Linked DNA regions of Callithrix jacchus. The protein of the gene in region 2 interacts with the protein of the main gene of each other region in a biochemical or structural test. Links are inferred from orthologs where the notes say so. Each region holds a gene or a part of one and is shown on either strand. Other genes may lie near its edges.

What was found.
Region 1: the proteins of TNNI1 (region 2) and TNNC1 are reported together in a solved structure, tested with the Homo sapiens proteins (2 studies listed by BioGRID, with this or other methods). The link is inferred for Callithrix jacchus from reciprocal best matches to the Homo sapiens genes TNNI1 and TNNC1.

What each region holds. Positions count from the first base shown.
Region 1 is NC_133516.1:34,981,782-34,986,062, reverse strand, and holds TNNC1 (troponin C, slow skeletal and cardiac muscles), read left to right. Parts: upstream 1-1,242; 5' UTR 1,243-1,268; coding exon 1,269-1,292; intron 1,293-2,811; coding exon 2,812-2,842; intron 2,843-3,088; coding exon 3,089-3,235; intron 3,236-3,476; coding exon 3,477-3,591; intron 3,592-3,807; coding exon 3,808-3,944; intron 3,945-4,026; coding exon 4,027-4,058; 3' UTR 4,059-4,233; downstream 4,234-4,281. UniProt on the Homo sapiens protein: Troponin is the central regulatory protein of striated muscle contraction. Tn consists of three components: Tn-I which is the inhibitor of actomyosin ATPase, Tn-T which contains the binding site for tropomyosin and Tn-C.
Region 2 is NC_133520.1:28,425,256-28,428,254, forward strand, and holds the end of TNNI1 (troponin I, slow skeletal muscle), read right to left. Parts: coding exon 2,914-2,999; intron 2,027-2,913; coding exon 1,919-2,026; 3' UTR 1,917-1,918; intron 846-1,916; 3' UTR 677-845; downstream 1-676. UniProt on the Homo sapiens protein: Troponin I is the inhibitory subunit of troponin, the thin filament regulatory complex which confers calcium-sensitivity to striated muscle actomyosin ATPase activity.

The DNA.
Region 1 (4,281 bases), on a different chromosome or scaffold from region 2:
AGGACAGAAGGTCCCGAGCCTCCAGGCAACACGAAGCAAGTCACTGCTCCTCCTGGCCTCAGTTTACTCCTCCGGATAAAGGAGGCCATAATGGCGCCTCACTTGGCTGTTGGGCTCTTTCTCTTTAGGGCAAGACGGGCTGGAGGTGGAAATAGAACCTGTGCTTATCGCTGGAGTAGGGCGAGAGTGATTCTGGGCCGGTTCTGAACCTCTCCGAGACTCGGAGAGCTCTTGTCAGTGGGGCTTCTTGACAACGGAGTGGGTTGATTCATGCGGGGCCTGGCATGCAGTAGTGCTGGAAGCAAGGAACGTGTTTATCAAGACGGGGCTCTGTACGAAGGAGGGCGGAGACGGAGGTGGGAGGGGTGTGTGCTGCCAATGGGTACAGGAACCTCACGGGATGGCCTGTCAGAGTTCAAAACAGGAGGGAGACACGTTGACCTGGACCCACGAACTACAGTGCTAGAATAGGGAACTGAGTCCTAAACCAGGGGAAGATGAGACCTAGAAGAGGGAGGTGGTAACCTGACTGGAGGGTGAGGAGGGAGAGAGCCTGGCACAGATGGGGCATCTGTGGGGGTGCTGTTGAATTACAGAACAGCTGACTGAAGCCCGAAGGGGGCACTTCTCCCTGGGCAGATGGAAGGTCTGGGGCAGGCGCCTCTGGCAGAAGGGCTCCTGACTACCCTGCCCTAAGGTGGGTTAGCATCGTCCTCTGAGCTTGGGATTTGAGGCTTATCTTGGCAGGGCCCTGTACTCCCAACCCCCACTTGCACGTTGCACCCCATTCCAGAGAGGCTGAGTTAAAGGCAGGGGCTATCTTGGGCAAGCCACCACTCTTCCAGAGCCTCAGCTTCCTTATCTGGAAGGTAGGGGTCATAGCACCGGCCTCCCTGGTTGGTGGGAGCCTGGGCTGCTGTGTTGCAGGGGCCTTGCCTGGGGCCCACTACTTTGTGGCTCCTGTCCTGCCCTGGGCTCATGCTTTCATTCATTCCAGAAACCTTTTCAGAGTCCCTTGGGGAGTGTGGGGGACAGGAGCGAAAGAAACCTGGTTCTTGTAGCACTTCATCTGCTCCCTGCCTTGGGCAGAGGACGCAGGGACTCAGGCCAGCCTGACATCACTGGGCCCAGAGGAGGGGCTGGAGGATACTACACGCAGGGGTGGGCTGGGCTGGGCTGGCTGGGAATGCAGTGTGGGGGGGGGGGCAGGGCTATTTAAGTCGAGGGCCGGCTGGCAACCCCAGCAGGCTGTCGTGTGACCCACCAGCATGGATGACATCTACAAGGCTGCGGTGAGGGACAGGGCTGGGTAGGGCTGGGTTGGGCAGGCCCACTGGGGGCTCACTCATCTCAGAATGGGGGGCTGGTAGCCCCAAGGAAGCGGTGGGGGCCCAGGAGAGAGTCTCTGTACCTTCAACCCAGGCCCTCACAGGGACAGTGGTTCTGATGTTTGAAGATGCAGAAGGGGTAGGGGCTCAGGGTCTGAAGGGAAGCTGGTGTTTGGAGATGCAGAAGGGGTGGGAGTTGAGGTCTGAAGGGTGGTGGAGGAGGTCGCCACTTTCAGCATCATGTCTCACTCTGTTTCTAAGTGTCTGTAGTCTGTGGCACTGTCTCTCAGCCACATGTCTCTGCATTTGTCTCTGGACATTTTTGCCTTTCTTTTTTCATCTCTCTTCCTCCTAAGTTGTCTCTCTGAGTCCCTATTACTGTCTCCCTGTCCCCAACCTCCATTTCTGCCCCTCACATTCTGCTTCTCACACACTCACAATCTGCCACTCCACTCCAGCCCTTTGGTTGGTCGAAGATGCTTTGGAGGGTGGAGGGTGTGAGGGGAGGGGCCTGAGTCCTGGGCTGGAGATGGGGCTTTGAAGTTCGAGGCAGGGAAGTTTTGGACATGAGGGAGAACCAAGGAAGAAGGGACAGAGAACTGAGGCCCCAGCCCCCATCGTGCCTGGCAGGCTCAGGGCTCAGTGGCTTAGCTGGGGGTGAGAATGAGGGAATGAGGGCTAGAGAGTGGTCACCCCAAGCCCCTGCAGCCTCCTGGGTCACTGAGGGACTTGAGATGCTGTTCCATTCCTGGATGCTGGTGACCTCCCACTACCCCAGAACAAGGACATCCTGGCCTGGGTAGCTGTCCCCAGGGGAACCCCTCCCTCAGCCTCCCTCACTTCTGGGCAGGGAAGGGCTACAGCCAGCTCTGGGGGCATGCCTGCTTATCCTGTGGGAGTCCATGAAGCTGGGGTGGGGGCAGCCCTCCACCCAGTGCCCATACAAGGCCTGGCGGAGCTGGGGACTAATTTTGGCTCCTGAGGCGGCACTAGTAGGACAGGGGGCCAGATAACACTGCCCCACCCCCTGCATGCCAAAGTCCCCAGAACAATCACCAGGTTTAACTTTGTTCCTCGTTAAAAATAGCCCAGTGGCCACCCTGGTCAGGTTACAGTGGGTAGCTTGTCTACCCCCACATTGGTTTATTGTCCCAACTTGAGGGACAGCTGTTCCTTGGGCCACCCAGCTTGAGTTTCATCACGGGCCAAAAGGGTATTGAGTGGTCACTGACTATTGTTACTGAGGGTCACCTTGGCCCTGAAGGGGGTGCCCACCTGTCACACTGGCCCTGAGCCCAGTCTTAGTGAGGCTAGCTGGGGCACATCAGGGCTTTGTGGGGAGGGAGGGAGGACTGAGACCTCTGTTCTGTGGCCTGGAAATAGCTTGCTTTCCCCAGCTGCAGCTCTCACCTGTGGAATGGGTTGGTTTCAGCAGCAGCAGCTATGTGTGAGGCTGAGCCCTGAGAGTCCCTTTCCTTTCTAGGTAGAGCAGCTGACAGAAGAGCAGAAAAATGGTGAGAACCCCTATCACACGTGCGGGAGACCACCAGGGCCAGGTTGGGAGACCAGGCTGGGGAACGTGGGGACCCCTTACCAGAAGAGGAGCACAGACCAGAGACCAAAGGCTAGGTCCCTCTGCTCTGATCTCAGAGAGGTCTCTGAGGGAGGTGGGCAGGTTGGCAGGTGGCCCCAGGAGTCTGGCCCTCTGAGGTCCTGGCTGTTGAGCCCTGGCTATTGTGCCCCCCAACCTCTGTACACAGAATTCAAGGCAGCCTTCGACATCTTCGTGCTGGGCGCTGAGGATGGCTGCATCAGCACCAAGGAGCTGGGCAAGGTGATGAGGATGCTGGGCCAGAACCCCACCCCTGAGGAGCTGCAGGAGATGATCGACGAGGTGGACGAGGATGGTGAGCCCCTCCTCCCCAGGCTCTAGAGGAAGCCCAGCCAGCGTGGGGCTGGGATGCTGGCTCTGCTTAGCCGGAAGTGGTTTAGCCCCTCCGATCCTCAGTTGCTTCATCTAGAAAATGGGCATAATGGCCACAGAAGCCTGGCATTTGCATCCTCACACCAAATGCCAGGCTTCTGTGGCCACTCTTTGGGCTTGAGTCACCTGCAGTTTCCAACCTGGCCTCTGTAACTGCCTCCCAGGCAGTGGCACAGTGGACTTTGATGAGTTCCTGGTCATGATGGTTCGGTGCATGAAGGACGACAGCAAAGGGAAATCTGAGGAGGAGCTGTCTGACCTCTTCCGCATGTTTGACAAGTGAGCACGTGACCCTTGACCCCTGACCTTGACCCTCACTCAAGCCCAGCTGGGGTTAGGAGGGCAGTCTCAGATTCTAGGCCTAGGGACCCTGCAGCCTCTGCTTGATGGGGGAGAGGGATGCCCCATCTCCCAGCGTCCCTGTTCTTCCTAGGGGGCATGGTTGTGGTCCCTCTTGCCCTCCCTGCAGCCCTACCCTGGGCCCCCTCCCCACAGAAACACTGATGGCTACATTGACCTGGAGGAGCTGAAGATGATGCTGCAGGCGACAGGTGAGACCATCACGGAGGACGACATCGAGGAGCTCATGAAGGATGGAGACAAGAACAACGACGGCCGCATCGACTACGACGGTAAGCGGGTGGGTGGGCTGATCCCCTGCCACTGTGCCCTGCCAGCCCCACCCCTGACCCACACCTGCCCCTCTTTCCACAGAGTTCCTGGAGTTCATGAAGGGTGTGGAGTAGATGCCGACCTTCACCCAGAGCTGCCCATGCCCAGCCTTCAACTCCAGCCGAGTCCTGGGGCTGGGGAGCGGGTTGGGGTCCCAGGACCTGAGTCTGGTCATGTCCTCAACTCCAGATCCCTCGACTCCCTCCCCAGCCCCGTCCTGGGGGATGCAAATAAAGCCTGCTCCCTGGAGGCCTGCTGTCTGGCTCTGGTGTCCCCAGGCCATGGACTGCTCCCCAG
Region 2 (2,999 bases):
AAGTATCCCTTCTGCAGGGCCTCCCGCCCTGTGCCACAGGGCCAGGTGAGGGATTGAAAGTGCTCTGACCAGAACACTTTCAGGTACAGCCAGCAGGCATCAGGGAGAGATAATCCAGGTTTGCGGAGGAAGGAGAGCATGAAACCCGGCAGGAGAAGCAGCTCTGAATAGACAGGCCTCTCCTGACGGCCAGAATCAGGGGCAGGACTGGGTCAGTTCTCGGAGGTCAGGGCTCTGGTGAGCTGAGCACCCTGGGTGGTTAATGTGTGCTGTGTAATGTCACAGGGACTGGGCAGAAGGGGATCCGGGCACCCTGGCAAGCAGCCACCAATTCCTTAGCCCTCCCTTCAGATCCCGAGCTCCAGATGCAGACAGAGTGACTGGAGCCCAGCGCAGCCCTCTCTTCACAAGCCCCACACCTTCCCTTTCTTCTCAGTGCTCTCAGTCAGAGCTGCAGAAATGACCAGGAAACTGGGTTTTTAATGAAGAGGCTGAGATGCCTGTGGACACTGTACACGTCATAGAAGGGGTGTGGCACGGGGCTGGAAGAAAGCTGCTCTCACTCCCGCCTCTTCCTCCACTTGTGACACCATGGGGTGGCCAGGAAACCCCAGGTGCCTCATGGGTGGATGGAAGCCCACTCTGCTGGGGTGAGGTCTTCAGACACTCGTGTTTGTCCTGCCTCTTGGGTATCTGTGAATTCCCAGTTCCAGAGGAGGGCATGCAGGCTGGAGGGAAGAAGTGGGGGTGGGGCAGGATGCTCTGGACACGGGCAGAGAGGTGAGTGAGCTGGGTTGGAGAAGAAGCATGAAGCAGGAGCCCAGAGCGCAGCACAGCAAGCTGGCCTGTAGGGACAGAGAGGCGAAGCCATCAGTTCCCGCAGACCTGTGTGCAGCGCATGAATCCCTGACTTACCTACAGCACATGCAGTCCCAGGGCTTCTCACACCTAGCACACCCCTGGCCAGATCTTCATTTGTAGGAGCTCCTACAAAACCTCAGCTTCTCAGTCCGTGGGCACAGTCCGTGGGCACAGTTCTCCACCTTTTAGGACCCCTCACACCGCTCCTCCACACTGTGGCCTCAGCTTTTACCTGGCCTTACCATGCTACGCCGTGGCTGCTTAATTCCCAACTCCATGCTTCTGTGGCACCATCAGCCCTTGGACGTGCCCTTCCCCTTACCAGTTAACCCATCACGTCCTCAGAGACTCCTCCTCTCCAGAGCGCCTGCTCTGACCAATGCTATCTGGTGGATGCCTGCCCTATTGCACGTTGTCTCAGCACTTCCATAGAGGGCTTCATGTGGCCTAATTTCCTTGCTTTGCTCAGTTTTCCCAGCTATTTCCTCAGGGGGTGAGAAGCCTTAGCTTCTCTGAGTGGTAGCTCCTTGGGAACAGGTACTGTGACTGCTGGGTACTTTGCAGGGAGCACAAATAAAGGACATCACCAGGAGATGTTTAAAAGAGCATAGATTTTCAGAAAGTCAGAGAAGGAGGGACCCCAAGGATCCTCTAATCTAGTGGTTCTCAAACTCTCGTGTGCATCACAGTCACCTAGAAGGCTGGCCTCACCCCAGAGTTTCCAATTTAGTGGATCTGGGGTGGGGGCTGATCATTTGCATCCCAGGTGGTAAAGATGCTGCTGGTCCCAGGACCACACTTGGAGAACCACTGATTTGATACAGCCCCCAATTTCATAGACGTGGGGAACAAATAGCACCCCCAAACAGAAATGACATGCCCAAGGTATCACGGTGCTGGAGCCAGGACTGAGCCCAGCTAGCTGGCCCTCATCAGTCTCATCGGTGCCTTCCCCCCTGCACCACACTGGGTACAACCCGCCTGCTGACTGCAGACTCCGACATTATCCTCTAGACTCTGCTGGACCCCAGAGAAGGGAGCTGGTCTCTAGGTACCTCTATTGTGAGGTTGGAGACTTGGCAGCATCAAACATCTTCTTCCGGCCTTCCATCCCAGACATGGCCTCCACATTCTTCCTCCAGTCACCCACCTCCACAGGCCGCTCCTGTGGATGACACAGCAGGGACTTACCAGGCTGGACAGCCCCACAGCTCAAGAGAAGCTGGGTCATAGAAAACCACTCTCCTCGGATGATAAGAAATCCTGACACCCCTCCCCAGCTGGTAAGGTCCTAGGACTCTGCCAGGCAGGTGGACGTGGGCCAAGCTGAGGCCCCACAGGAAAAGGGCAGCTGTGTGGCTTGGGAGCACTGGGTGATAGTGGCAGCTACGGGGCCAGTTCCCACCTCGGTGCACCTCAGGGAAAACTCCTCCAAGGCCCCACGCCACCCTCCTGGTCTGGCAGTCTGCAGGCTCAAGGCAACCTCTTCCGAGAAGCCTTCCCTGCTAAGGTGGCGGCCTTCCCACTCCCTCAGTACACTGCCCGGCTCACGTCTTCTCCTCTGAAGCTTCTTGGAGACTGTGTTCCTGTCATCCCTGTTTCTTACAGAGCCTATCAGTTTGGAGCACATATACCGTGAGTTCAACCAAACTGAGTAATTTGCTGCTGGGTGGTTGAGCTCAGTACTCTAATATCTGTGCTTGTGTATAAGCTGCTGTCTCCCTTCCCTGTGGTGACCTGGGAGTTGTCTCCACCATTACCCTAAATCTCCACGTTCTCTTCACATTGGACAAGGTTTTTACTTCATTTCTCTGTCTGGGGTCTAGCTTTCTTGGTGTCCCATTTCTTCATCAGACTGGGGGCAGCCTGAAGGAAGGGAGCAAGTCTTTCTTTTTTCTTCCTACACTGGTCTCCCAAAGGGTTCTAGAATGTTCTGTCAAGCTGACTGGCCTCTAGCAGGAGCTCCTGGGCCTGGCTGAGGCTGGGTGAGGGTCTGACAAGGGGAAAACTGGCAAGGTGGGGTGTGGAAGGTTCTGGGGAAAGGGGCCTCACCTTCTCTGTGTCTTCCTTCTTCACAGACTTGAGGTTGGCCCGCAGATCCATGGACACCTTGTGCTTGGAGCCCAGCAGGGCCCGGA